Linked DNA regions of Macaca mulatta. Each later gene encodes a partner of the first gene's protein in a complex. Links are inferred from orthologs where the notes say so. Each region holds a gene or a part of one and is shown in the gene's direction. Other genes may lie near its edges. The genes, in order: TXNL4A, PPIH, LSM7, LSM2, PRPF6, PRPF4 and SNRPG.

Region 1 (4,218 bases):
TGTATTTTTAGTAGAGACGGGGTTTCACCATGTTGGTCAGACTGGTCTTAAACTCCCGACCACAGGCGATCCACCGGCCTCGGCTTCCCAAAGTGCCGGGATTACAGGCCTGAGCCACCGCGCCCGGGCATGATTTGTTGTCAATTTGTCATCCAAAGGACCACCAGGATGGCTGGATAGTAGACAAGAGTTTTACTGTCAATGTCAGTTTGCAAACCAGGGGGAGTCTCTAACATGAACCCAAAGTGCTCTCTCAGAAGAACAGAGATTAGAGGTTTTATTTTAAAAAGAGAAATATTATTTCTCTTGGAGAAAGTTCATAGGCACCAGTAAGGGTCTGGGGAGCGAAGCCGGGGGAGCCAGATCAGTCCTGGAGGTGCAAGTTATGCTGAAGCTATGCAATAAAACTGGCTTCAGGTCGGGCGCGGTGGCTTCCTCCAGTAATTTCAGCGCTTTGGGAGGCCGAAGCGGGCGGATCACTTGAGGTCAGGGGTTCGAAACCAGCCTGGCCAACATGGTTAAACCCCGTCTCTACTAAGTACAAAAAAACTAGCCGGGCTGGCGCCTGTAGTCCCAGCTTACGGGGAGGCTGAGGCAGGAGAAGCGCTTGAACCCGGGAGGCGGGGGCTGCAGTGGGCCGAGATCACGCCACTGCACTCCAGCCTGCGCGACAGAACGAGACAACGTCTCAAAAAAAATTTTTTTTCTTTATAAAAAGACAAAAACTCTGGTTTCGGGTTACAACAGGCAGCTCAGCAGCCGGCCTGACGGTGACATTCCTCAAGGACGGCCTGCCCAGTGCTTCCCCCCACCCCGCTGCTCGGCTCTGCCGTGGCTGGGTATGGCAACAACGACACATTTTTATGGTCAAGTTTCACAAATGACACACACGAACCGTCTCGCTAACACACAGCACAAACGATGACCCGAAACAGACACCAGAAAGGAAAAAAACGAGCCGCAGTGCCGGGCATGCCGGGCCTTTCTGAAGACGTCCCCATCCGTGGCTGGAGGACAGCCCGGGCGGCGGCGGGCGGCCTCGGGGCGGGTGCGTCGGGGCAGGGCACGGCGAGCCCGGGGCTTCTCAGGACCACCAGGCCGCCTGGACGCTGGGGAGGAACCCCCACTCCGACGCCGGCTAGGAGGGCACCAACCGCGCTCCACCGTGGCCAGGTCGCCGCCGCTCCCGCCGGCCAACGACAAGCTAGCGCGGCGTCTGTACGCGCGTGACGTCAGCACGCACGGCGCCAGCCCGTGCGCATGACGTCAGCACGCACGGCGTCGGTGCGTGCGCGCCCAGAGGTTCCGCCCGGCGGCAGTGCCAGCGGAGCTTGCGGGTGTGGGTGGGACCGGGTTTCGGCTGTGGGCCCGGGGGCGGCGGGGGCCGCGGAGTGAGGGGCCGGCTGAGCCCACCACCTCGCTGGGCCCTCCCTGGCGCCCGGCCTCGGGCGGCGGCGAGCGCGCGGGTCGCCATGTCGTACATGCTCCCGCACCTGCACAACGGCTGGCAGGTGGACCAGGCCATTCTCTCCGAGGAGGACCGCGTGGTCGTCATCCGCTTCGGCCACGACTGGGACCCCACCTGCATGAAGATGGACGAGGTCCTATACAGCATCGCCGAGAAGGTAGCGCGCCGGGCCCTCCCGCCCTGCTGGCTGTGCTTCCGCAGCGGCCCCGCGCCTCTGCCCCGCCGGCCTCGCCTGGGGGCGCGAGCCGTTCCCCGAGGAGGGGCCGCGGCGCGGTTGTCCGGGCGATTCCTTCCCGCGCTGCGGGCGAGCGCTCTCGGGGACTGTGCCGGCGTTTCGCGCCTTTTTCTGCAGGGAGCTCCTGTAGTTGTTCACGTTTTAAAGGGTTTATGATCCCCCTCCCCTCGAAGGAATTCATTATTTCTGTTGGTAAGGCGTTTTTCCCAATCTTACAGTGCAGTGAACAAAGTAACACTTGCAGGTTTTGAGAGCGCAGATCCTTAATTTAAAAGGATGCCCTTTTCTGGTGCCCTGTTTGTTTGTTGTATGTGTAAAGCAGAACTTTCATGTTAATAGCATAAGAAATCCTGTTTTTCTGTTGGTGTTTTCTTCCACCGCGCTTTTTGTAAGTCATGTGATTTATAGCTTAGAGTGATTAAGATGCAGAAAACATCGGGAGAAAATAGAACTATGCTTTGTTGGAACTAGTTTTCTGAATTTCTAATATTAGTACATTGAGTGGCCTTGGCACTTACTTGCTGACAATAAAAGTTGTGGGACACTATAACCAGGTTTCATTCTTTTTCTGTGGTTCCTCACAGCAATTTTAGGATGGCGTTTATTTAGGTTTTGCAGCTGTAGCAATAGGGCAAAGGGCACAAATACTAGGGTGTTAATAAAATATTTGCCATATTAATTTTCCGTAAGTAATTTGAGCGGTTATTCATTTTGATGAAGAGTAAAAGTAACATTGAAGCTATCTTTTCTTTCACAGATGCTAAAGTAGGCTGGGTTAAAATAACTCCTTTGAGTAAAGAGTAACAGATATAAAGACATTTTATATTGAGGAAAGGAAAGACTGTCTGGCCTGCCATTTATTAATTCTTGCTATTTCTTATTTAGTAGGAGAGGTGTGATGTTAGGAACTGTTGTTATATTTTAGTTATTACAAGAATCTCTTGGAGTGCTTACTAAAATGCATCTGTGATTCTGAGTCTATGGGTGTGGGGTGAAGTCCAGCAATGGCTTTTTAAAGAAGCCCCTCAGGGAATTCTGATGTGACCTGACCTTGAACCACACACTCAGAAACCCTTCCATGGGGGTCAGGGACAGAGGCGGAGTGCTTTATTACCAGCCATCTCCCAGCCTCTTCCTCTTGGACAGCAGGACACTGAGGACTTGAGGAGCTGCCTAGGGAATCAGGAGAGCAGCAGTTCTCTCACACTGGGGCTTCTGCCAGCCAGGGATTAGAGATGATGAGTGAGGCAGTGCCAGCACATCAGCTTTTCATTGCTTGACTTGTAGTGGACAAGGGCAGATACTGGAAATCCAGCGAAGAATTGACGAAGAGCAGTTTCCCAATAAGTAAATCACTGCTTGTAAATCACTGACTTTGAGTTACGAGTTCTAGAATCTTTCACTGTTCTACCTTGCAGGTGGTGGCATAAACATCAGCTGGTGTTCAGATCCTGCTGCCGGCAGCTCGAGGCTAGGATGGCTGGCGATGTGAGGGCCTTTGTCTCATCACATCCAGGCAGAGCTCAGCAAGATGCTCTTAGCTAGGAAACAGATTTTATGTGTTAATGTAAGTGTTAGGGTCTTTGCCAGATTTGCTCTTTTTTTCCAATTCCTTTATGTCCGATTTCTTTGTTATTACAGAATGAATCACTGTATCACTAGTGGACACACACTTAAGGACAGTTGAAATGGGCTCACTTTGGGGTATTTTTTTTTTTTTTTTGGTCTTTTAAAATAGTTTGATTTTTGTTTCTGTCCAAAAATTTGGATTGCTTTATTAATAAACTTTTAATGCAAATATTATAGTATAATTATTAAAAGCGCAAACCTAGGCCAGGCACGGTGGTTCATATCTGTAATCCCAGCACTTTGGTTGGGAGGCTAGTGTAGGCAGATCACTTGAGCCCAGGAATTCGAGACCAGCCTGGACAATATGGTGAAACCCGTTCTCTACTAAAAGTACAAATGCCAGACGTGGTGGCACATGCCTGTAGTCCCAGCTACTTGGGAGGCTGAGGTGGGAGAATCACCTGAGCCCGGGAAGTCAAGGCTGCAGTGAGCCATGATTATACCACTGAACTCCAGCCTGGGCAACAGGAGTGAGACCCTGTCTCCAAAAATAAGTGCAAACCTGAAATGCATTAAAAGACTATTCGTGTTTTATTTTCTTCTTAGTATATGGGCAAAATATGACTTTCTAATTCTGGAAGCTCTTTTGGGGAAACTCAACAGAAATTTTTGAAATGTAAGATTTTAGTATAAAGAACAATATAACTATTTAAAAATTTCCCTGTGCAGAAATGGCAGATAATGGAGAATCTTCCTTATCTTGTTAAGAGTCCTGTCGATGTCCCAGCTGTTTTAAAGTGAGTAACAGTTGCAGATGTTCGGCTGGACTTGATACGATTTTTTCCTGGATGTGTTGTATTGATCTGCTGCTTCCACAAGGCCCACTGGCCTCATGCTGGGTTAGAGCTGAGCTGTGAACTTCAGGAAGAAAGTTAGTCTGGAAACA
Region 2 (4,184 bases), on another chromosome or scaffold:
AGACCAAGAGGAGAGGATCAGTAACCAGGAATAAAAATGACCCTTTAAATTGAGACACACTGGATTTTTATATGTAATTCTTGCTTCCTCCGACGACAGAGCTAGAAAAGATGATCAAAGGACCTAGGAAATAATAACTATTATATTAAATGCATGCTGTTATAGCTAATGAGTCTTGCCCAAGTTCCCCTTCTTTCACTAAATTCATTGAATCTATTATATTTACCTACTATGTGCTATTCAGTAGGAGACATTGCAGCTACAGCTGCGAACAGGACTGAGAGAGTCTCTACTTTCATGGAGTTTATATGCTATTAGGGAGGAAGATGTATGTGTGTGTGGCAGGAAATGAGGTGCAGACACATACCATACAAATGTGAAATGGGGGGTGGCATGAAGAAAACAAACCAGTGATCTGAGTGACCAAGGGCTACTTTAGATTAGGTCTAATGTTGCCTCTGAGGAGGTAACATCTGGGGTGAGCCCTGAACTACAAGGAGCATTACTTCCCACACACATAGCCCAACCAAACCCCACCATCACCCCGCCAACCCACATTAAGATCTGGAAGGAATATTTCAGACAGAAGAAACAGCTATTACAAGGCCTTAAAGAAAGGAGGGATCTCAGTGACCTGGAGGAGCAGACAGGTCAGAGCACAGTAACTAAGGGCAAGTGGTACAAGATGAGGTCAGGTAGGTAATAGCCAGATTAATGCACTGGAGGGCTTCCTATGTACAGAATTGGATTTTATTCTAAATATAGGAAGCCAGGAGTTATTTTAAAAATAAATAGGAATCACAAGAGGTATTTTAAAAATAAAAAATAAAAAACTCTAGTTACTCTGTGGGAAACGAATTGGAAATGACCAAACTGGGAGCTTGTGGCAGAACGGAAACATAATCTATTGTCCTGACTTAGAGGAAGGGACAAATATTTACTTAGCAAGCCTTTACGTGCCAAGCTGTTCTAAACGCTGAGGATGAACAAACCAGAGATCCTGCCTTCACGGTGTTCACAGACTAGCGGGCAGAAGACAGACACAGCACGTGTGGCGGTGTAGAGGGCTTGGTTGCAAGAGCCGATAAGGAGGACCCTGGCGACTGCCTAGTCCAAAAGCCCTAGCTAGAGCAAGATCAACTTGTACTGCCCTTAGTACAGCCACGTGAGTGGGGTGACCATCGACCTTAACCAAAAAGATGTCAAGGCTTTCCTCCTCCTCACTCCCGCGTCCCCCGTCTCAGGGAGAGTCTCCCAGCTAGACCCCAGCAGCCTCAGCACACACGGCACGGGGCGACAGCTTCCGGGGGCGGGGCCCGGTCTCTCTCGGCGTCCACCGCGCCTGCTCCCCGGACGAAACCCGCGGACAGGGCTTTAGGTTCGCCGGAATCCCACGCTCCCGACTTCTGCTTCCGGGTCGGAGCCATGGCGGTGGCAAATTCAAGTCCTGTTAACCCCGTGGTGTTCTTTGATGTCAGCATTGGCGGTCAGGTGAGATCCAGGACGCTACCCACACCTGCGCCGAAGGGAAACTGCTCGGGGCTAGCTAGGCAGGCAGAACTCACCCAGAGAGAGCGGACTCGGGAAGCCAGCCAGAAAGCGAAATTGCACCCGAACCTACCGACCTGCAGGGCGGGGAGAAATGAGGAGAAGTCTCCCCAATCCTAGCGCCCCGCTTCTGGAGGAACTGGGCGGTTAGACCAGAGAGGCGGAGGTGGGTGATACCGAGCGGCAGGGTGGTGGGTCAGCCCATCCTGCCCCCAGCTCCGTGAAGCCCTCATGGTCTTGGACTGGGCCTTCTGACAGTCTCCCGCTGATTGCAGGAAGTTGGCCGCATGAAGATCGAGCTCTTTGCAGACGTTGTGCCTAAGACGGCCGAGAACTTTAGGTAAGGACGTGCTCCAGTTCCGCTGGATTAGCTGAGGCAGAAGTCGGGCTCTAGTCAGCCGCCTGAATAGCCTGTCTACCTCTGTCCGTCCGCTCACTGCTCTTGAGACCTGATTCCTCCGTGCATTGCTCTGTCTGGTTGCCGTTTGGATTGTTCCCGTGTTAATTTACGTTGTTAGTCTGTACGTCTCCGTGTTTGGACGTCTGGCTGGCCGATTGGTGGACTTGCTGGCTCCATTGTTTATTCTTTCCCGTCTTTAGAGGCGGTCACGACTGTGATGTCATAGTGATTGAATTGTTCACTTTTTGTCCCTTTCAGGCAGTTCTGCACCGGAGAATTCAGGTCAGTTTCAGATGTGTTTGACTTCTTTGCCTGCTCCAGAAGGGTGTTCTGGGGCTGCGGTGAGGGTATCGGTGAACCAGCTGCTGGCCTTGAATGATTGCTGGTGACAGTGATAGAAGGTAATGCCCCAAGGGTCTGTCCCTAGTTTATTTGCCTTCTTTATGTCTGTCAACCATCTTTAGGAGAGTCCTTTTGGCTCCAGTGCATGGTAAACTGGAAAGGCCTTGTGCTACCTGCTATCACTCCAAGTCTCTTTCTTTTTGTTATAGAAAAGATGGGGTTCCAATAGGATACAAAGGAAGCACCTTCCACAGGTAAGGCTTTTGGCAAGCCATCCTAGAGTCTTTCAGAAATATTTCCTGGGGGATTAGGCTCTTTAGAGGAAAATAAAACCAGAGGTAATTCTTACATTTCTTAAGAAGAAATGTTTTTGTGGACTCAATAACTGAAGATTTATTAAATATTCTAACTCTACTTATACTCTCCCACTTCTTATGTCTTTAAAACAGAAACTACTCATCTTTACAATATCCTGTCTTTTTCATGCACTTGTTTGTGCAAATGCAGATTTTTAAAGAAGTACACTTGTAATCCTAAAGTGCATATAATATATCCTGCTGGTTGCTATTTATAACTAATTCCTAAAATGATCATATATGATTGTCCAAGGATAATCATATTTCCTGGGGAGTGGAGTATGGCAACACTTAGTCTCATTTCAATATAGAATCTTTCTCATGGCCTCACTGTGGTTAGTAACAATGTTAGCACATAATTATATCACAGCTTTAGAACTGTGGGTCTCTAATCCCCAGTAAGACTCCTGTGAAGTGGTATGTGTGATCTGCATTCTACAGAGGAGGAAACTGAGGATAACAAAGGTTAAGGACCCTCCCTAGGGGTAATAGCTAACAATTGTTAAGCCCTTACATGTGTAGCAGTACCTTTCACATAAATTCTCTGTAGTTCTTTGCCCCAAATTTACATCAAATCCTTGATCTGCCTTTTGCTTTGGCAAGTAATGTGGTCATTCTTCCTGCAGGCTTTCAGCCCCTTCTTCTTGTTACTGTTCAGGTACCAGATCATGCACTTGATCAACTCTAACATGCCCTAATTTATAACTAAAATCCTTTTTTATGGTTAATTATCCTTTCAGCTTAATCATTCCAGGAAAAGAATAATCTTCTTTTTTTGTTGTTTTGGTTTTTGGTTTTTGGTTTTTTTTTGAGACAGAGTCCCGCTCTGTCACCCAGGCTAGAGTGCAGTGGCATGATCTTGGCTCACTGCAACCTCCGCCTTCTGGGTTCAAGCAATTCTTTTGCCTCAGCCTCCCAAGTAGCCGGGAATACAGGCATGTGCCACCACGACTGGCTAATTTTTGTATTTTTAGTAGAGATGGGGTTTTGCCATGTTGGCCAGGCTGGTCTCAAACTCCTGGCCTCATGTGATCTGCCTGCCTCGGCCTCCCAAACTGCTGGGATTACAGGCGTGAGTCACCGCACCCAGCTAAGAATGGTGATTTTATAATAGCCAAAGTTATAGTGTATTTTGAAATCAATGTTAATCTAATACAATAATAACAAAGTCTCCATAAAATCTTCTCTCAGTATTCTTTGCTCTCTGTTTCAGGGTCATAAAGGATTTCATGATTCAGGGTGGAGATTTTGTTAATGTAAGTACTATTCCTTTTCTATCAAAGACCTGTAGTTTTAGTTTTTATTATCGTTGCAATTGCTGTTTTTACTACAGAGACCCAGTCTTAAGGCTTGAGAACAATAGCCAGGTTTGATGGGGGTGTTGGAGAGAATGGTGATGGGGAAGTTCTTGGAAGTGGCTAGGTACAACTGACTGTAGATAACAGACTTTAGCACTTTGATTGAGGCATTAACTTCCATGGTCCAAATCTCAGCCTTTTTGAGCCAGAAATTGGACTTTTTAAGAATACCCTGTAGAT
Region 3 (4,046 bases), on another chromosome or scaffold:
TCACAACTGGACGGCACGTTCATCCAGATGCGACATGGACTGACATACTTTGAAAGGGTCACTCCTGCTGTGTCGAGGATGGACTAGGGATGTGGGGGACAAAGGCAGCCACAGCAGGGGGATGGCGGTGGGGCTGGAAGAGTGGAGACTAAGAAGGAGCCCAGTGGCAGCAACGCCTTAAGAGAACTCTGAGAGAGGAGTGAAGGTTAAGGGCCGCATTTGTGAGGCTGCTCCGGGTTCCATTCCCTGAGCCACCAAACTCAGGTAAGAGGGAAGACTTGGAATTAAGAAAATAAAAGATGCAGTTACGACAGTGCCATCTCGTAGACTGTCCCCGCTAGAACCTGACACTCTACATCAAAGGATACACAATGAATATAAGGAAGGCGTGCTGTCCCTAGGCGCTGGTCACCCTGGGTAGCATCTCCAGAATCCACACCATAGTCGACCCCCCTTCTCCAGACGAGCAACCGACGCTCAAAGCAGGGAATTCCCTCGTCCAAGGTCACGGAGTAAAAGATGGAGCGGGGATACGACCCCAGTGCAGGGCTGGGCTCTTGGCCGCTCCAGGATGCTGGCCAGTCACTGGGGGACACGCGGGACGCCTCTGGGTTCCCCCACCGCACCCCCTAGGGTGAGGTTAGCTTAGCACCCGGCCATTCCGCCTAAAGGGAAACTGAGGCTCGGAGCGGGGTGGGCGGCCGCCTGCCCAAGGCCACAGAGCGGGAGAGAGGCGTCCCCCGCGGCGGCTGGAGACCCCGAAACGGACAAGCAGAACCGGGAGATGGAGGGGGCACAAACTTCAGGCCCGGTGGGAAGTGAGGGGCGCTGCAGCGGCGGAGGGCCTCCGAGGCGGGGAAGGGAGAGAAGCCGGGGACAGCCCCGCAAGGTCACGGCCGGGCCCCGGCACCGCCGGCCGACAACGAGGGGACCGCGGATCCCCGAGGCTCGACCCCCCAAGACGGGCCAAGAGGGGTCGTTCCTGCGCGTAGCCTCGGGGCCGAGAGGCCGAAGGGCCGCAGCCTGCGGTGCCGTCGGGACCGGTGCCGCGCTCACCTGGGCCGCGAGGAGCAGAAAGGCCGCCACAAGCCGCGCCAGCGCAGCCGCCGCCACCGCCGCCATCTCGGCCGGTGCCCGCCGCAACCGTCGGCAGATGTTTCCCAGCAACGCCCCGAGACCCCGGGCCACGCATGCGCCGCGCATGCGCGTGGGGGGGGAGGGGAGAGGTCACAGGGCACGGGGCGGTGTCTGCGAAGAGCCGCACGGCGCGACAAGATGGCGGTGAGCGCGCGGCGGAATCCGGAGCCGGGGGGCGTGGGGCTCGGGCCGCGCTCCAGGCCTCATGCGCTCTGCTTTCCCCGCAGGATAAGGAGAAGAAGAAAAAGGAGAGCATCTTGGACTTGTCCAAGTACATCGACAAGACGATCCGGGTGAAGTTTCAGGGAGGACGCGAAGGTGAGGCGGCTCCCGCCGTTGGCACCCCCCCTTTAAAATTTTAAAATAAACTCAGCAAGAGAGGTGATGAGGATGCATGCAGAGGCGCCTCTTTTATTTATTTTTATTTATGTATTTATTTGAGACGCAGTCTCGCTCCGTCGCCCAGTCTGGAGTGCAAGTGGTGCGATCTCAGCTCACTGCAACCTCCGCCTCCCGGGTTCAAGCGATTCTCCTGCCTCAGCCTCCTGCGTGGCTGGGGCTACAGGCGCCACCACTCCTGGTTAATTTTTGTATTTCTAGTAGAGACGGGGTTTCACCATGTTGGCCAGGCTGGTCTCAAACTTCTGACCTCAAGTGATTCGCCCGTCTCGGCCTCCCAAAGTGCTGGGATGACAGGCGTGAGCCGCCGCAGAGGCGCCTCTTTACACGCTTGACGCCGACTACCTTGTGCAGGCTTCCGAATTACGCCGGGAGGTAGGAACTGGTATGGCCATTTTGCAGGCGGGGAAACTGGGGCAAGGAGCGGGAAACAAACGTAACCCAAAGTCACAGTGGCGCAGCCGGTATTGGGATTTCCGGCTTGGCCTCCAGAGCAGTCCTGTGTGTCCAAGGACTGCCCCAGATCCCCACAGATCTCCCGGCTTCTCCTCTTCCTCCCTCTAAGTCAAGGTCTTTCCCGCACAGCAGTGTGGACACATTTGGGGCCGGATTCTCTGGAGTGGGGCCGTCCTGGGGCACTGCAGGGTGCTGAGCAGCATCCCTGGCCTCCACCAAGTTGTGACAACCTAAATAGCCTCAGACATTGCTTAGTGTTCTCTGGGGATAGGATCGCCCCCCGACCCCCAAGCTGTGATTGGGAATCACAGCTACTAAGGTCAGTCTCCACTCAGCGGCCAGAGGCACCTAATGAAAAAGAAATGGAGGCTTCTTGCTCCCTGCTGAAAAGCTCTGAGGCTCCCCGTTGTTTTGGAGTAAAATCCGAATCCATACTTCTGATTATGACTGCAAAGGGCGGCAAAAGCACAAGTTCCACAGGTGCTTGCTCTGGGAAGCCCTCCCTGACCCTGGCGTCAGGCCCCCCATCGTTCTAGGATCCTGGTGGCACCTGTCACCGTTTGCGGTTTCGTGCATGTTAACCTGATGCTTGCCTCTGCCTGCGACTCTTCCATGGAATCTAGTGAAGACAGGGCGAGCTCTCAGAGGGCAGGAAGCATTCGCATGGGCAGTGGGCTGGTGATGCATGCTGCAGCTCTTGGCGGGGCGCAGGGACTCACGCCTGTAACCCCAGCACTTTGGGAGACTGAGGCAGGCGGATCATATGATCAGGAGATCGAGACCAGCCTGACCAACATGGGGTTTTGTGAAACCCCATCTCTACGAAAAATACAAAAAAATTAGCTGGGCGTGGTGGCGCACACCTGTAATCCCAACAACTCAGGAGGCTGAGGCAGGAGAATCTCTTGAACCCAGGAGGCAGAGGTTGCAGTGAGCTGAGATCGCGCCACTGCACTCCAGTCTGGGAGACAGAGCGAGACTCCGTCTAAAAATAAATAAATCACACACACGCACACACACAGCAGAGAAAGGGTTTGCTCCCTGAAGGACTCACCTGATATGGTCAGGCTCACCCAGGGTGTTTCCCTCTAGATTGGCTCAAAGTCAGCTGGTTCAGGGGCTTAAACAGCTGCATAACCTAAGTGCAGGAGTGACGTCATGTCCCCTCAGAGTCACAGGCCCGAGCCCACACCCCGGGGAGGGGAACCTTGGTTAGAGACCTACCTACCTCAGTGCTCACATCTGTCCCCGTGAGGAGGGCTGGCTCACTGGTCAGGCTGGTGCCAAGGACCTGAACCGCTGCGTCTGACCCCATCTCATAGGTGACAAGTTTCATTTTGCAGGGGAGGGACTTGAGCACAGAGAGAGGGAGCCGTGGAGGTAGGAGCTAAAGCCTGTATGCAGGTGGGCAGACCTTCTCTGTAGAAGGCCAGACAGCAAATATCTTCAGCTTTGCAGCCCAGATGGTCTCTTGTCACAACCAGTGAGCTATGCCCGCAGAGCAGGAGAGCCGCCCTGGTCAGTGCCTGAGCGGGCGAGTGTGCTGGTGGGCCAGTGAAACTTTGGCATACAGAGATGAGCGGTGGGCCACTTTCGCCTCTGGTCGTAGTTCGCAGCGCAGAACGGCCATGGACAGGCTCACAGCCCTGCCTTGGGAGAAGATAGGCGGGCAGAATAATGCCTGGGGTGCCTGCTTCCTGAGATTGGTGGGGGGCATGCAGAGGGCAGCACCCTAAGGGGTGTGGGTTGGTGTCTGGAGGAAGCACCTGAAAGATGACAGGGGTAAGAAGGAGGGTAGGGAGCGGGTGGCTGTGGGACGCCCCTCAGTGAGCGCAGAGGCGGAACCGCTCCTGGGCCTGGGCTGGAGGAGCCTGGGGGGAGAGGACGGGAGTCCCGGACAGGGAGGGTGGGCTGGCCTCTGCTGAGGACACGCAGCTCCCCCTTCACCCTTCTCAGTGTCACCAGACACTGCGGAGCAGGATCAGATGGCAGAGGTCACCACCGGGTCAGAGAGCCCTAACCCAAGGTGCCAAGTTGTGACCTAAGGCGGCGAG
Region 4 (4,166 bases), on another chromosome or scaffold:
GGACTCCTCAACATTTTTTTGTTTTTTATAATTTTCTTTTTTATAGACAGAGTCTTGCCCAGGCTGGAATGCAGTGGGGAGATCGTAGCTCACTGTAACTCTTGGGTTCAAATGATCCTCCTGCCTCAGCCTCCCAAAATGCTGGGATTTACAAGCCTCAACATTTTGTTGTTGTTGTTGTTTTGAGACAAGAGTTTCACTGTTGTTGCCCAGGCTGGAGTACAATGGCACGATCTCCACTCACTGCAACTTATACCTCCCGGGTTTACAGGCGCGTGCCACCACACCTGGCTAATTTTTGGGTTTTTAGTAGAGACAGGATTTCGCCATGTTGGCCAGGCTGGTCTAGAACTCCTGACCTCAGGTGATCCATTTGCCTTGGCCTCCCAAAGTGCGGGATTATAGGCGTCAGCCACTGCGCCCGGTCAATTTTTTTTTTTTTTTTTTTTTTTAAGACGGAGTCTCTCTCTGTCACCCAGGCTGGAGTGCGGTGGCCGGATCTCAGCTCACTGCAAGCTCCGCCTCCCGGGTTCACGCCATTCTCCTGCCTCAGCCTCCCGAGTAGCTGGGACTACAGGCACCCGCCACCTCGCCCGGCTAGTTTTTTGTATTTTTTAGTAGAGACGGGGTTTCACCGTGTTAGCCAGGATGGTCTCGATCTCCTGACCTCGTGATCCGCCCGTCTCGGCCTCCCAAAGTGCTGGGATTACAGGCGTGAGCCACCGCGCCCGGCCAATTTTTTTTTTTTTTTTGAGACGAGTCTCGCTCTGTCGCCCAGGCTGCAGTGCAGTGGCATGATCTTGGCTCCCTGCAACCTCCACCTCCCGGGTTCACGCAATTCTCCTTCCTCAGCCTCCCGAGTAGCTGGGATTACAGGCGCCCGCGACCACGCCTGGCTAATTTTTTTTGTATTTTTAGTGAAGACGGGACTTCACCATGTTGGCTAGCCTGGTCTCGAACTCCTGACCTCACACAATCCATCCACCTTGGCCTCTCAGAGTGCTGGGATTGAAGGCGTGAGCCACCGCCCTCGGCCTTTTTTTTTTTTATCAGCTGAATTTAAGATTAAAAACATTTTTTAATTTTATTTTTTGAATTTTATGTTTTTACTTTAACAAATATAGAAAAGTGCACACTTCATAATCTTCACAAACTCCCCACAATTCTCGATAGGATGTGTGTAGAGGGCACGAACACATCACGCTGTGGACGGCAGGGTTATGGAAAACAAAACCTTTTGAGCTCAGACGCCGAGTGCCTCCACCCGCCTAGCAGCCCAGGCTAGGGTCCGCGCCTGCGCAATGGGAGCCGGCCGGCCCTGGAAGAAGTCGGAACGAAGGAAACCCCGCCCCTTTCCCGGCTTCCTCCTCCCCTCGGTTTTACCCAGCTTGCGCTCCCCAGCCGCAAGTCGGCCGCGCTTTACCCTTCAGCGCTTGGAGGGTTCTGCGTCCCTTCCCGCTGCGCCTGCGCGGTCCCGCCTCGCCCCACGCGCGGGCTCGCGCTTCGGTTCTCCCAGACCTGGTCTCAGCATCCGGCTCTTTTCTCGCTCCGGCCCGCTGCCCGCTGCGCCAGCACCATGGTGGGTACCGTGACGTCAAAAGGGGTCGCCCTCGGGGATCTCGGACGGTTGGGGCAGGGGGGTCTGGCCTTTGTCCCCCTAGGCTGGAGTTAGGTCCGGAGTTTTTATCTTCATCGTTAGTCCTGTTCCTCAAGTTCGTTGAGGAGACACCTGAGAGCAAATGGGATTTTTTTTTTCCATGATGAGGAAAAAAACCCCAACCCTGAGAGAGATTCAGTGGGGACAGCGGGAGACGGAAAAGTTAGACCTTAGAGCACTTCTCTGCCAGGCAAGCTTCGGCAGGGTGCGGGTGGGATGTTTTCTGTAATTCATTGAAAGGAGTGGGCAGGTACCCGAGAAAGGTGGTCGATTGAGAGAGCACACTGGGGAGGCCGAGGTATGCAGGGCAGAGCCTCTCTGGGACTTTAAGTGATGGGCTCAATGCAGTGTGCAGAATAATTTGGGCTCCAGCCTTTCACCTCTCAACCAATTATTCTTTCCTGTGAAATTTTGAGAACTGTTAGGGATGCAATGGGGTTCACAATACCGGTATTTGGTAATACTGTCAAGGGACACTCCTCCCTACCATGTTCCTTCCCACATGATGGTTTTCCCCCTCTCTCCCAATAGCTCTTCTATTCTTTTTTCAAGTCCCTTGTGGGCAAGGATGTGGTCGTGGAACTCAAGAATGACCTGAGGTAGGTACCTGTTCCAACAAGTCTGTTGGGGGTGGGTGTGCCCAGGGCCCTGGAACCTCTTTAATTTGAGAAATATTTGAGGGCTGGGTGAGGTGGAATATGTACAGAAGAAATAAATGGCCGGGTGCGGTGGCTCACGCCTGTAATCTCAGCACTTTGGGAGGCTGAGGTGGGCGGATCACGAGGTCAGGAGATCAAGACCATCCTGGCTAACACGGTGAAACCCTGTCTCTACTAAAAATACAAAAAATTAGCCAGGCATGGTGGCAGGCCCCTGTAGTCCCAGCTACTTTGGAGGCTGAGGCAGGAGAATGGCGTGAACCTGGGAGGCAGAGCTTGCAGTGAGCCCAGATCACGCCACTGCACTCCAGCCTGGGTGACAGAGCGAGGCTCTGTCTCAAACAAACAAAAGAAATAAATGGGTGGGGTGCAGTGGCTCACGCCTGTAATCCGAGCACTTTGGGAGACTGAGGAGGGAGGATTGCTTGAGCCCAGGAGTTTGAGGCTGCAGTGAGCAGTGATTACTCCATTGCACTCTAGCCAGGGCAATAGAGCAAGACCCCATCTCTAAGACAAATTTTAAAATTTAACAATAAATAAATGCCTTGTGCCTTAAATTTACAGATAAGCTTGGGGATTGTATTGTGTATTGGAAAACAATACAAAGCAATATACAGTTTAAAGAGTAAATACTGGTCAGGTGTGGTGGCTCATGGGCTGGACGTGTGGCTCATGCCTGTAATCCCAGCACTTTGGGAGGCCGAGGTGGGTGAATCACGAGGTCAGGAGTTCAAGACCAGTCTGGCCAAGATGGTGAAACCCCGTCTCTACTAAAAATACAAAAATTAGCCAGGCATGGTGGCAGGTGCCTGTAATCCCAGCTACTTGGGAGGCTGAGGCAGGAAAATCGCTTGAACCTGGGTGGCAGAGGTTGCAGTGAGCTGAGATTACACCACTGCACTCCAGCCTGGGTGACAGAGTGAGACTCTGTCTCAAAAAAAATAAATAAAGAGTAAGTACTAGGCTGGCCATGGTGGCTCACACCTGTAATCTCAGCACTTTGGGAGGCTGAGGCAGGAGGATCACTTGAGTCCAGGATGTCGAGACTAGCCTGGGCAACATAGAACCATTTCTATAAAAGATTAGCCAGATGTGGTTTACATGCCTGTAGTCCCAGCTATTCGGGAGACTGAGGTGGGAGGATCACTTGAACCCAGGAGGTCGAGGCTGCAGTGAGCCATGATTGTACCACTTTACTCCAGCCTGGGTGACAGAGGAAGACTGTCTCAAAAAAGAACAGGCCAGGCCAGGCGCAGTGGCTCACGCCTGTAATCCCAGCACTTTCGGAGGCCGAGGTGGGCGGATCACGAGGTCAGGAGATTGAGACCATCCTGCCTAACATGGTGAAACCCCATCTCTACTAAAAATACAAAAAATTAGCCTGGTGTGGTGGCGGGCGCCTGTAGTTCCAGCTACTTGGGAGGCTGAGGCAGGAGAATGGCATGAACCCAGGAGGTGGAGCTTGCAGTGAGCCAAGATGGCACCACTGCACTCCAGCCTGGGCGACCAGAGCGAGACTCCATCTCAAAAAAATAAACAAAAAAACAGAACAGGCCATAGGCTGGGCATGGTGGCTCATGCCTGTAATCCCAGCACTTTGGGAGGCTGAGGTGGGTGGATCACAAGGTCAAGAGATTGAGACCAGCCTGGCCAACATGGTGAAACCTACGTATTAGATATGCTACTGTGTATCTAATACCTAGTATAGGCCAGTTGTATGATAGGTGCTTAAGGAAAGAAAAATAATATCTGAAGACCTATTGACTAAGCACTATTCTGAATACATTTATTGATTGATTTCTCAAACACTCCTTAGTAATATGTACTATTGCTGTTATACATATGAGGAA
Region 5 (3,500 bases), on another chromosome or scaffold:
CGTACCTCTTGGCCCCCGACGCCGTGTGACCACGGGTAAATGTTTCAGAGTGTAGAGCATGAGGTCACACGGGCTGAGGGTGCCCTTACGTGAGTGGACGCATTCAGACAGCCTCGCTGAGCCGGGTTGTCTGAGGGTGCCTGGTTGTCATGAGGTGTGTGTGTGTTTTTTTAAGTACTTGTCTTTATTTTCACATATAGCATCCTAATACTTCATGACATACTTTTTAATAAACTGTAGAATGCTGTATAAACGTCAGTTACTGCAGTGCAGGCTAATGTCATAGAGCGTGCCCTTCCTTGAGCAAACATCATGAGAGGGGCCTGGCCTGGGTTTTACCTTCCGCTCTCAGCTGCCTGTTTGAGATGGCATCACTCCTGTGGGTGACCGCAGCGTCCCCTCCGCCTGCCCGCTCTCTGCTGCCTGTCAGGCGGCTTTCCTTGCCCATCGTTTTTGGGCTGCTTTTCAGGTCTGTGATGTGGTCATCTTGCATGGTCAGTGAGCGGCTGTGCTGATTAGGATGCATTCAGACAGCCCTGGGCACCAGCCCTGGGGAGGCTCCGAGGGCAGAGCCTTCATGTCCACTGGGCTCTGGGCTGTGTGAGCCTCCTCGGCCTGTGGACGCCTTCTCCACATGTCAGTGGCACTCTGGGAGTCCTCTCTCCTGCCCATGTGGGCTCATGAGGACAGAACAGCTGGCTTCCTTTCATCAGGCTCAGGGCAAAGAGCGAGGTTGGGTGTGGTGGGTCTCTATAGGGTGTGAGTGACCCATTCAGGGGCTTTGAGAGGGTGTGGATGGATCCTGGATAAGATGGCCCTGCTCCCACCCCCATTATTGCTCAGTGCTTTGGCAGCCTCCTCGCTGTCCGCGCTGTACTAGAGTGAACATGGACCTGTGTGTTTCCAGGTGAGTCCGGATTCTTGCACTGGAGTCTGCTCTGTCATCTCCTCCCTGGGAAGGGCTTGGGCCGGACTAATCCTGCAGCAGAACAAGGCCTGGCTCAGTTCCTGCCTGCCTGCTTTTGATTAAGTGTGATCAGGCGCTGGTCCCTGTGTTCTGACCCCTCTTGACGCTGCTGTACTTGCCCTCCAGGCCAACCCCAACAGCGAGGAGATCTGGCTGGCGGCCGTGAAGCTGGAGTCCGAGAATGATGAGTACGAGCGGGCCCGGAGGCTGCTGGCCAAGGCGCGGAGCAGCGCCCCCACCGCCCGGGTACGCAGTGGCAGGCAGGGCTGGGCCATCCGGGGTGCGTGGTGTGCACACGTGGGCCCCGCACCTGGCTTGAGTGGTGATGTGAGATGACAGCAGGCAAACGAGACCAGAGCACATTCATATGGCCAGGCATGGTGGCTCACGTCTATAATCTCAGCACACAGCACACTCATCTTTGTGATGTGACTTTAAAACATTCATATGGCCAGGCATGGTGGCTCACGCCTGTAATCTCAGCACACAGCACACTCATCTTTGTGATGTGACTTTAAAACATCCGTGTGGCCGGGCGTGGTGGCTCTCACATCTGTAATCCCATCTCTTTGGGAGGCCAGGGCGGATGGATTACCTGAGGGTGGGAGTTTGAGACCAGCCTGACCAACATGGAGAAACCCTGTCTCTACTAAAAATACAAATTAGCTGGACGTGGTGGCACATGCCTATAATCCCAGCTACTCAGGAGGCTGAGGCAGGAGAATTGCTTGAACCTGGGGGCGGAGGTTGCCATGAGCTGAGATTGCGCCACTACACTCCAGCCTGGGCAGCAAGAGGGAAACTCAACAACAACAACAACAAAACCTGCATGCGGCCGGGCGCGGTGGCTCACACCTGCAATCCCAGCACTTTGGGAGGCCGAGGAGGGTAGATCACGAGGTCAGGAGTTCAACACCAGCCTGACCAACATGGTGAAACCCCGTCTCTACTAAAAATACAAAATTAGCCAGGTGTGGTAGCGTGTGCCTGTAGTCCCAGCTACTCGGGGAGGCTGAGGCAGGAGAATTACTTGAACCTGGGAGGCAGAGCTTGCAGTGAGCCGAGATCGCGCCACTGCACTCCAGCCTGGGTGACAGAGCAAGATTCTATCTCAAAAAAACAAAACAAAAACATACTCATATATTTATCCCCACCTTTTGTGTACACAAACAGGCTATGAAAAGCTTACAAAAGTACCCACAGTGCTGCAGGTAACAGTGTCGAGGACGAGCGTAACACGAAGCACGTGCCTTGGAGCCGATGCCCTGCTGACGGTGCGTGTCTGCCCCACAGGTGTTCATGAAGTCTGTGAAGCTGGAGTGGGTGCAAGACAACATCAGGGCAGCCCAGGATCTGTGCGAGGAGGCCCTGCGGCACTATGAGGACTTCCCCAAGCTGTGGATGATGAAGGGGCAGATCGAGGAGCAGAAGGAGATGATGGAGAACGCGCGGGAAGCCTATAACCAGGGGGTATGTCTGCCTGCACCCTCGGGCTGCAGCTGGCCCGGCATTCACAGAACTGAGCCCCCTGGTGCAGGGCCATTGCCCTTCACCTCTGAGGAGATGTGGAGGGCTGGGGGTTACAGCGAGGGAGCTGTGGGCTCAGGACCCACACCCCGGTCCCCTCACTGAGTTCTGTGCTTTGCCTTGTATGAAGCTGCACACGCTGCTCTCAGAAGTGCAGAGCGTGGCACACCTGAAGTAAAGGCTGGTATGTACAGACCTGTGTGCACAGGTCCACAGCACCACCGCACACTCGTAAACCCACAAATGCAGAGTGGGACACAGGCAGTCCTGAGGTGCTGGCTCGCCCACTGCAGTGAGCAGCTGGCATGGCTGCGTCCCAGTTCTTCATAGACACCACCTGAGCTGCTCTCTCACTTGTCGGCTGCAGTTGAAGAAGTGTCCCCACTCCACACCCCTGTGGCTTTTGCTCTCTCGGCTGGAGGAGAAGATTGGGCAGCTAACTCGAGCCCGGGCCATTTTGGAAAAGTCTCGTCTGAAGAACCCAAAGAACCCTGGGCTGTGGTGAGTCCTGATGAGTGGGGGCAGCCTGGGCTCTTGGCACAGCTTACCCATCAGGTGGGCCGTCCTCACCCAGCTGCTTGTGTGGAGTGACTTGTGCAGTGTTTCCAGGCTCGGGGGCTTGCGAGGCAGTAGGTGCTGGCCACGAAAAATCACGGTCCCTGCCTTGGGAGGGTTCGGCTTAGGTACTGGGACAGGCCTGCAGATGGTTTGATGCAGTTTAGTTTGTGTTCTGATGGAGGGTGCCTGGGAGAGGGAGGGGTTGACGATGGCTGGGACGAGGGAAGGATGGACCCCGGAGAGCTGACTCCACAGAGGAGGTGGCGTGGAGGGCCCTGGAGGTGGGTAGGAGTCTGCGAGGTGCAGGCTCTGTTCATGGAGGTGCTGCATCCAGCTCAGGGTGACGGGGCTGGAGTACTGCACTCTGCAGACAGGCAGCTCCTGGGGGCCTTGTGCGGCCCTGGCTCTCCCAGGCTGGTCTTGCTTGTGCTGGATGCCTTCACCTGCA
Region 6 (3,500 bases), on another chromosome or scaffold:
CATTCCTGCTGTACCTACTTCACAGGTCTGTTAGAAAGATCATCTGAGATAATAGATATAAAAGTAATTTGTTGAAAATTTTCCAAAATTTTCCAAAAATTAGGCTGGCCTAAATAAAGTTTAAGGCCAGCCAGGCAGGGTGGCTCACGCTTGTAATCCCAGCACTTCAGAAGGCCGAGGTGGGAGGATCACTTGAGCCCAGGAGTTTGAGACCAGCCTGGGCAGCATAGTGAGACCCTGTCTCTACACATTTTTTTTTTTCTTTTGAGACGGAGTCTCATACTGTCGCCCAGGCTGGAGTGCAGTGGCACGATCTCAGCTCACTTCATGCTCCGCTTCCTGGGTTCATGCCATTCTCCTGCCTGAGCCTCCCAAGCAGCTGGGACTACAGGCGCCCACCACCATGCCCGGCTAATTTTTTGTGTTTTTAGTAAAGACAGCATTTCACTGTGTTAGCCAAGAGGGATTCAATCTCCTGACTTGTGATCTGCCTGCCTCGGCCTCCCAAAGTGCTGGGATTACAGGCGTGAGCCACTGTACCTGGCCCATAAAATTTTTAAAAATTTATTTAATTTTTTAAAGGTTAGCCAGGTGTGGTGGCATGCGCCTATTAGTCCCAGCTACTCAGGAGGCTGAGTGATAGAATTGCTTGAGCCTGGGAGGTTGAGGCTGCAGTGAACTGTGATCATGCTACTGCACTCCAGCCTAGGTGACAGAGTGACACCCTTTCTCAAAAAAAAATTTAAATACTTTGTAATCAGCAAAATACTGTTCATATTTAAGGATAGTATCACTATTAATATTAGTATTATTGGATAGTTTAATTTGCCCCACCTTCCCTCACAAGTGGATCCAAAAGTTAAGGAAAATGGCTACTGGTGTAGTGTTAATTATAGTCCAGTAAAAGCCTCTAGTTGCGTGCAGGCTGGAGGTAGCTTTTTCTTCTATAACCCTTCCAACTATAAGGCTTTTATGTTTCTGTCAGCCATTGTAAAGTTTGTTGGGGTTGAGAAGAGATTGTCCTTTAGTAATATTACCAAGGTACCTTTTCCTTCCCAGACCAACCCTGGCTGAGATGCTTTCCTTTGTATTTGATAGGAGTGGGCTTTGCAAGCTCTGGTCTGTTCCTGATTGCAACCTCCTTCACACTCTTCGAGGTAAGTTAGAGTCTTATCTAAATCTCAGTCTTTTTCCCAGTGTGAACTCAGTTACACCGTAAACTCTGCTTGACACTCAGACCCCATACACACAGCATTAATTCTTGATTTGATTTGACTTGGTTTTCTCTGGCTGCAAGACTGGACTATCACAACTTCATACACATCCACTTTTCTGTCATGTCCAGTCACACTCTGGCATTTTGTAATCTCTAAACCAAAACCACAATGGGTTTTTTTTTTGTTTTGCTTTTTTAAAAAATATAATTTAAATGGTAGCTTAAAATAGTTCATGTTTTAATAGTTGAATAGTCACTTTCATACTCTCTATGTCCACATGTTCCCTAGTATATACTTACCTGTGATGTTCATCATAGTCTGTATTTGTACACAGGTTATAAAGAGGCAGGAACCTTTTAACTTGGATCTCTTACACTCCTTTAGGGCATAACACAAATGTAGGAGCAATTGTATTCCATCCCAAATCTACTGTCTCCTTGGACCAAAAAGATGTCAACCTGGCCTCTTGTGCGGCTGATGGCTCTGTGAAGCTTTGGAGTCTCGACAGGTGAATATCACTGTTCTGCGGCCCACACTGCCATCACTAAAGAAGATGTTTGATTGGTTGGTCCCCAGGACCTCAGGTTAACAATCTGGCATTTAGGCCATGCACAGTGGTTCACACCTTAAGGCTGAGGCAGGAGAATTGCTTAAACCTGGGAGGTGAAGGTTGTGGTGAGCTAAGATCGCACCACTGCACTCCAGCCTGGGCGACAGAGCAAGACTCTGTCTTGAAAGAAAAAAAAATCTGGCATTTAACCCCCAAGATGGTTTAAGAGTCAAGGTAACTTAGTGTGAAAATGAAGTAAGTGGAAGATTTCATTCTTAGGCCTTTTCTTACTAAAGGAGTTACGTCAGTTTTTTCTTACCTGTTAACTTTGGATCTTGATTTTTGCCTGTAGCCTAGTGACCACTATTTCCTGGCTCCATTTATTCCAGAAAGATCCAGGCTACCTCCTACATGATTAACAATGAACTAAAGATAATATTCTTGGCAATTCATTGGTTCTTAGCAAACAGCCACAGGGGAGAGGAAAGTGAGGTTCTGTCTAGCAGTATTACCAGGGAGATGTCTCCTCCCAGTAGCGTCATCCTTTACCTAGAATGTATTTTCCAACTACAACAGTTTTTTAACATGTGTTTATGTGATTGTTTTCAAAAAAAAAAAAAAAACTTTGGAAGCACCCCGTTGGCCAAAAGACATCTGAATTTAATTGCTTAGTTTTCTTTCTTTGGGAAAACACATGAAGGTTTTTACTTGAGAATTTTTATAAGAGCTAATTAATGTCTTCATTCCTCACCAGGCAGGGTCTGACTTACGAGCACAGCGAGTTTTAATTGGCTTTGGTAATACTTAGCAATATTTATTCCCTTCGGGCTTTGGCTTGTTCTGTGTATGCACATTGACAAAGTTCCCTTTTTAATTACCCTCCTTAGAGTTCATGTTTATTTCCTTTTGCTGATGTTTCAGATCTTTTGGTGGTTGCTGGATTGTAGAATTTAATAGCCACCAAAAGGAGACTAAGCCTCATCTCTAGTTAGGAGTTCCTTTTTCATTTGGATCTTAGAACAGGCCTAAATTTGAAAAAGGTTTATCTGTAATCCTGTACCAAAACTGTGTGATTTCTGTGTCCTTATGTCTCTTCCAAAGCATGTTTTCTTTCTAGAATTCAGGTACTCCTTTGGTACAGAATGACTATTTTGCTTATTGGGCCGAAGTATTTTACAAGTGTAGTTACAATTTAGCCTCTCATGTTGTAAAGAATGGGTATAGCTGCACAAAAGGTAATCAGTTTTGGGAATATTTATATGTCTATAAAATTGTTTATATGTTTGGTTCTTTTCCAGTGATGAACCAGTGGCAGATATTGAAGGCCATACAGTGCGTGTGGCCCGGGTAATGTGGCATCCATCAGGACGTTTCCTGGGCACCACCTGGTGAGCCATCCTGTTACTGTTTTATCCATATAGGCCTGTGGCATCTTCTTAACTCTTTATGGCTATGTGCCAGGTAAATTTTTAGAGCAGAGATCTTTAGGTAGGATTTTCTTGGGCTGCAGAGAATTGGAATCAGAGGAGAATGTTTAATATAGTGAGGGCTAAGTATATTTGCCTTTTTTTTTTTTTTTTTTTTTTTGAGGCAGAGTCTCACTCTGTCACCCAGGCTAGAGTGCAGTGGCGCGATCTCAGCTCACTGCAACCTTTGCCTCCTGGGTTCAAGCGATTCTCCTGCCTCGACCTCCCTAGTAGCTGGGACTACAGGCACGTGCCACCACGCCCAGC
Region 7 (4,284 bases), on another chromosome or scaffold:
CTTCTATAATCCGTGCATTCTCCTATTTTGGGGTAACATAACTGGGAACAAGTCCGAGGCCACTTTTTACACATCTTGACATGAAAAAGGAATACCTTGTATTAGAGAATGTTTGTGTGCTGCACTTCACGTTTTATATACGGGGCAATGGCACATCAGTGAGTTCTGGAGGTAATGTTTGAAAAATTGCAGAACTGCCAGGCATGCTGGCTCATGCCTGTAATCTCAGCACTCTGGGAGCTGGAGGCAGGCGGATCTCTTAAGGCCAGGAATTCGAGAACAGCCTGGGCAACAAAGCAAGACGTCGTCTCTACAAAAAAAAAAAAAAAAAAAAAAAAAAAAAAAAAAAATTAGCTGGGTGCAGTGGCTTGCGCCTGTAGTCTAAACAACTCAGGAGGCTGAGGTGGGAGGATTGATTGAGGCCAGGGGTTCGAGGTTGCAGTGAGCCATGATCACATCATGCATCCCAGCCTGGGTGACAGAGCAAGACCTCATCTCAAAACAAAAAAAAATTTTTTTTTGCAAGACCCATCAGTCGGAAATAGATTGAAATTCTTGGAGACAGGCCCAGTCACCTTACTCTCCAAATGGTGCAGAGGCTGCTAATTTGCATGTTACCGGAACCCTACTTGGTCTGAAAGTATGCTGTAGGATACCTGCCAAAGAAATATAGAGGCCCGGCTGGGCGCGGGTGGCTCACGCCTGTAATCCTGGCACTTTGGGAGGCCGAGGCGGGCGGATCATGAGGTCAGGAGATCCAGACCATCCCAGCTAACACAGTGAAACCCCATTTTTACTAAAAATACAAAAAATTAGCCGGGCGTGGCGGCGTGTGCCTGTAGTCCCATCTACTCAGGAGGCTGAGGCAGGAGAATGGCGTGAACTCAGGAGGCGGAGCTTGCAGTGAGCCGAGACCGAGCCACTGCACTCCAGCCTGGGGGACAGAGCGAGACTGTCTCAGAAAAAAAAAAGAAATATAGAGGCCCATTCCTCCAGGGATCATTATTTGGTATTTTGGTTTAGATGAAGAAAACAAGCGATACGATCCACAGACATGCGGGATTTGCCGGGTTTGCCCAGAAGTTAGAGAGGGGACTGTTATCTCAGTATTTCAATTTTATTTTTTAAATAGAGGAGGGGGTCTCCCTATGTTGCCCAAGCTGGTCTCGAACTCCTGGGCTCAAGAGATCCAAAGTTCTGGGATTTACGGCGCCAGGCTTTTTTTTTTTTTTTTTTTTTTTTTTTTTTTTTTTTGGCTGTTCCATAGACAAGAACACGGATACTCCATCGTCAGAATACCCGTTATCTCAATTTTGCCCAAGGAAAACCGAATTTAGAAAGGTGCCTAGAGGGCCCACCCCTCTGTCCTGGCCAATAGCTGACGACGCAACCGGAAGCTCAGCAATGACCGAGGCGCTCAGATATCGCGATGTGAAGTGTTAAAAACTGCCAACAATCGATTGGCTAACTAGGTCGATGACGCCAAACGCAAGACGCCGGGCCTACCGCGGGAGCCTGAGGGAAGCCGTGCATTCAGTTCCAAGGCGTCTGTGAGTCCGCGGAGTATACGCCATGAGCAAAGCTCACCCTCCCGAGTTGAAAAAGTAAGTATGTGTGAGAGCCAAACCGAAGTGGTCGCTTCTTTGCGTCCCCCGAGTCCCTTGGTGTTTCAAGCCGAATGGCTTGAGCCGCTTCACCTTATTTCTTCTTCCGGTCCGAGGTCGCCGGCATCCCGGCCAGGCTCCGGCTCATGAGACGTGAAGCCCGCGCAGAGCTCGCGCATTGGCGTGGTTACCGCCGGCAGCCACCGCACCTCCTTCTGGCCGACTAGTCTCTCTGTCCCGCGCTCCGGCCCCTAGTCACCCGGCGCTGTCCCTCGTTCCTTGAAGATCTCCAATGCCAGCTTTTGTTGAACATCTCTAATAGCATCATATTCTAGATAGACGGCTAGAGGGGGAAATTCTCTAAAGGAACTAAGGAGGGGATGGAAGGGAAGTGTTTTTAAAACTACGTGAGGCATCGGAATCCAAAAGCCACTTTAGCCTTAGAGAATGTGTTTGTAGGTGTTTCTTTGAGCTTTTACTTAGAAACCTCATTCTTTTTTGTTGCCTATTTTTACATTAAGCTTGAATGTCATGTGTTATCTTGCTCTGATATTGAAACTATGTAAGAACATTCATTTCTAAAATTAATGTTCTAAAAAATAAAATTTTTTTTAGAACATTAATTTTTTTCTAATCAGAGAAGGCTAATTTTTTTAAGTTTCTTTTACACACCCAGTAAAGACAAACAACTTTAAGGAGGAGAGCCTTAATTTATGTAGGACTCAACGTAAAACTTTAAACTCCTCAAATACTTTTTGACTGGACTTAACAGGTTATGTGTTTCCTCAGTACGTCTCTGTTTTGCTTGTACTCCCTGATGCTGGAATTCTACATGTATTTATTGGATTGCACAGAGGATGCAAAATTTTTACAGGAATCAATTTTTTCTGGTGTAGCATGTGGTTGGCTTTGTGTATAGTTCATTTATTACCAGGCCCCTGGAAGTCAGACATAAGGAAAAGTTCCTATTTAATAATTTTGCGGCCAGTGGCGGTGACTCACGCCTGTAATCCCAGCACTTTGGGAGGCCAAGGTGGGTGGATCACCTGAGGTCAGGAGTTCGAGACCAGCCTGGCCAACATGGTGAAACCCCCCGTCTCTACTAAAAATACAAAAAATTAGCCAGGAATGGTGGCACGCGCCTGTAGTCTCAGCTACTCGGGAGGCTGAGGCAGGAGAATCGCTTGAACCCGGGAAGTGGAGGCTGCAGTGAGTCAAGATCTAGCAATTGCCCTCCAGCCTGGGCAACAAGAGCGAAACTCTGTTTCAAATAATAATAATATTGCATTTAAAGGTATATTTGTATCAAAGCCATCTTTTGTATGAAAACTACTTTCATGTATATTTTAGTTAGGTCTGTTAAGGAATTAATTATTAAAACATAGCCCAACGTTAGAAAAATAGAAGTTAGAAATTATTGTGAAAATTACTCTTTTTATCTGAAAGTTATTTTATTGGTGAGTTGGTGATGTAAGTATCCTCTGGATTCATCAGGGACTGGTGAAATGGTGATTTTTCTTTTTTTAAACAAAAGCACCATTCTCTACTTGTAATCTAAGATTTTATTTGTGATTCATAACATAGTTTTTGAAAATTTCAGAGAAGGAAGCTAGTTTTAATACCTTTCTCTTCTCATCCATAGGTTTCATGAATTGTGAAATCCCGTGAGATCTGCCGTCAAAATGACTTTCAAATTTTTTCTTTCTTTGCTTTCTCACTGATAGCATCTTCTTTTACACCATTATGCCCTCCTTCTGGCTTAGCGTAACTCAGGGGTTCTTAAATGGGGGGTAAGGAATCTGGTGACACCAGGGATGCTGCTAAACATCCTACCGTTATTCGGCTGCCCCCAACAATACAAAATTACCTGGTCCCAAGTGTCATTAGTGCAGAAGTTGAGATACACTGGCTTAACCGAATTCTTCCTTCCACTTCTTAAAATTTGCTGCCACAGTGGTCTTGCCAGTGACAGCTTTAATAATTTATCACAGTATGCAAAACTGAATCTATACTTAAGCCAGCATTCAAACGCCAAACCTTACAGCTGCTAATACTCACGTGTTCTCTTCTCCAGTCAGACTGAACTATTTGTGTTTGCTCTCACTTGCTGTGTGACTTCGAAAAATTGATTTACCTTTTCCAAGCCTAGTTCTCCATCTGTAAAAACGGTAGAAATGACAGACCATAATTGCATGCAAAGTCATTGTAAAGATTGTATAAGATCTTGTGTTATATTTGATATGTTTTATGTATCTTATTAAAATAGTTTTGTTCATCATACTTCATAAATGTGTGTATATATTATATATAATATGTAATATATATTACATATATAATTTTACATATAATATTACATATATATTACTTTTTTTTATATATATACATATATATATATATATATTTTTTTTTTTTTTTTTTTTTTTTTTTTGAGATGGAGTTTCACTCTTAATTCCCAGGCTGGAGTGCAATGGTGCAATCTCGGCTTACCGCAACCCGTGCCTCCCGGGTTCAAGCAATTCTCCTGCCTCAGCCTCCCGAGTAGCTGGGACTACAGGCATGCACCACCACACCCGGCTAATTTTTTTTTTTTTTTTTTTTTTTTTTTTTTTTTTTTTTTTTAGTAGAGACGGGGTTTCTCCATGTTCATGTTCATCAGGCTGGTCTTGAACTCCCGACCTCA

The links.
Region 2: TXNL4A (region 1) and PPIH share a complex: the UniProt entries of both Homo sapiens proteins name them as parts of the U4/U6-U5 tri-snRNP complex. The link is inferred for Macaca mulatta from reciprocal best matches to the Homo sapiens genes TXNL4A and PPIH.
Region 3: TXNL4A (region 1) and LSM7 share a complex: the UniProt entries of both Homo sapiens proteins name them as parts of the precatalytic spliceosome. The link is inferred for Macaca mulatta from reciprocal best matches to the Homo sapiens genes TXNL4A and LSM7.
Region 4: TXNL4A (region 1) and LSM2 share a complex: the UniProt entries of both Homo sapiens proteins name them as parts of the precatalytic spliceosome. The link is inferred for Macaca mulatta from reciprocal best matches to the Homo sapiens genes TXNL4A and LSM2.
Region 5: TXNL4A (region 1) and PRPF6 share a complex: the UniProt entries of both Homo sapiens proteins name them as parts of the U4/U6-U5 tri-snRNP complex. The link is inferred for Macaca mulatta from reciprocal best matches to the Homo sapiens genes TXNL4A and PRPF6.
Region 6: TXNL4A (region 1) and PRPF4 share a complex: the UniProt entries of both Homo sapiens proteins name them as parts of the precatalytic spliceosome. The link is inferred for Macaca mulatta from reciprocal best matches to the Homo sapiens genes TXNL4A and PRPF4.
Region 7: TXNL4A (region 1) and SNRPG share a complex: the UniProt entries of both Homo sapiens proteins name them as parts of the U4/U6-U5 tri-snRNP complex. The link is inferred for Macaca mulatta from reciprocal best matches to the Homo sapiens genes TXNL4A and SNRPG.

What each region holds. Positions count from the first base shown.
Region 1 is NC_133423.1:1,023,876-1,028,093, forward strand, and holds the start of TXNL4A (thioredoxin-like protein 4A), read left to right. Parts: upstream 1-1,418; 5' UTR 1,419-1,472; coding exon 1,473-1,625; intron 1,626-3,121; exon of another isoform or gene 3,122-3,234; coding exon of another isoform or gene 3,235-3,270; intron 3,271-4,218. UniProt on the Homo sapiens protein: Plays a role in pre-mRNA splicing as component of the U5 snRNP and U4/U6-U5 tri-snRNP complexes that are involved in spliceosome assembly, and as component of the precatalytic spliceosome (spliceosome B complex).
Region 2 is NC_133406.1:198,100,205-198,104,388, reverse strand, and holds the start of PPIH (peptidyl-prolyl cis-trans isomerase H), read left to right. Parts: upstream 1-1,384; 5' UTR 1,385-1,425; coding exon 1,426-1,491; intron 1,492-1,823; coding exon 1,824-1,888; intron 1,889-2,206; coding exon 2,207-2,230; exon of another isoform or gene 2,231-2,323; coding exon of another isoform or gene 2,324-2,349; intron 2,350-2,499; coding exon 2,500-2,544; intron 2,545-3,859; coding exon 3,860-3,902; intron 3,903-4,184. UniProt on the Homo sapiens protein: PPIase that catalyzes the cis-trans isomerization of proline imidic peptide bonds in oligopeptides and may therefore assist protein folding. Participates in pre-mRNA splicing.
Region 3 is NC_133424.1:3,075,559-3,079,604, reverse strand, and holds the start of LSM7 (U6 snRNA-associated Sm-like protein LSm7), read left to right. Parts: upstream 1-1,246; 5' UTR 1,247-1,275; coding exon 1,276-1,281; intron 1,282-1,364; coding exon 1,365-1,455; intron 1,456-1,522; exon of another isoform or gene 1,523-2,611; intron 2,612-3,046; exon of another isoform or gene 3,047-3,130; intron 3,131-3,220; exon of another isoform or gene 3,221-3,642; intron 3,643-4,046. Other genes in the region: SPPL2B (signal peptide peptidase-like 2B), read right to left, coding at 1,057-1,122. UniProt on the Homo sapiens protein: Plays a role in pre-mRNA splicing as component of the U4/U6-U5 tri-snRNP complex that is involved in spliceosome assembly, and as component of the precatalytic spliceosome (spliceosome B complex).
Region 4 is NC_133409.1:150,509,299-150,513,464, forward strand, and holds the start of LSM2 (U6 snRNA-associated Sm-like protein LSm2), read left to right. Parts: upstream 1-1,366; 5' UTR 1,367-1,576; coding exon 1,577-1,579; intron 1,580-2,188; coding exon 2,189-2,256; intron 2,257-4,166. UniProt on the Homo sapiens protein: Plays a role in pre-mRNA splicing as component of the U4/U6-U5 tri-snRNP complex that is involved in spliceosome assembly, and as component of the precatalytic spliceosome (spliceosome B complex).
Region 5 is NC_133415.1:116,912,815-116,916,314, forward strand, and holds part of PRPF6 (pre-mRNA-processing factor 6), read left to right. Parts: intron 1-1,093; coding exon 1,094-1,213; intron 1,214-2,260; coding exon 2,261-2,437; intron 2,438-2,861; coding exon 2,862-2,995; intron 2,996-3,500. UniProt on the Homo sapiens protein: Involved in pre-mRNA splicing as component of the U4/U6-U5 tri-snRNP complex, one of the building blocks of the spliceosome.
Region 6 is NC_133420.1:45,025,925-45,029,424, reverse strand, and holds part of PRPF4 (U4/U6 small nuclear ribonucleoprotein Prp4), read left to right. Parts: intron 1-1,059; exon of another isoform or gene 1,060-1,075; coding exon of another isoform or gene 1,076-1,098; coding exon 1,099-1,157; intron 1,158-1,601; coding exon 1,602-1,725; intron 1,726-3,065; coding exon 3,066-3,155; intron 3,156-3,500. UniProt on the Homo sapiens protein: Plays a role in pre-mRNA splicing as component of the U4/U6-U5 tri-snRNP complex that is involved in spliceosome assembly, and as component of the precatalytic spliceosome (spliceosome B complex).
Region 7 is NC_133418.1:54,435,739-54,440,022, forward strand, and holds the start of SNRPG (small nuclear ribonucleoprotein G), read left to right. Parts: upstream 1-1,484; 5' UTR 1,485-1,572; coding exon 1,573-1,604; intron 1,605-1,720; exon of another isoform or gene 1,721-2,051; coding exon of another isoform or gene 2,052-2,059; intron 2,060-3,246; exon of another isoform or gene 3,247-3,347; coding exon of another isoform or gene 3,348-3,394; intron 3,395-4,284. UniProt on the Homo sapiens protein: Plays a role in pre-mRNA splicing as a core component of the spliceosomal U1, U2, U4 and U5 small nuclear ribonucleoproteins (snRNPs), the building blocks of the spliceosome.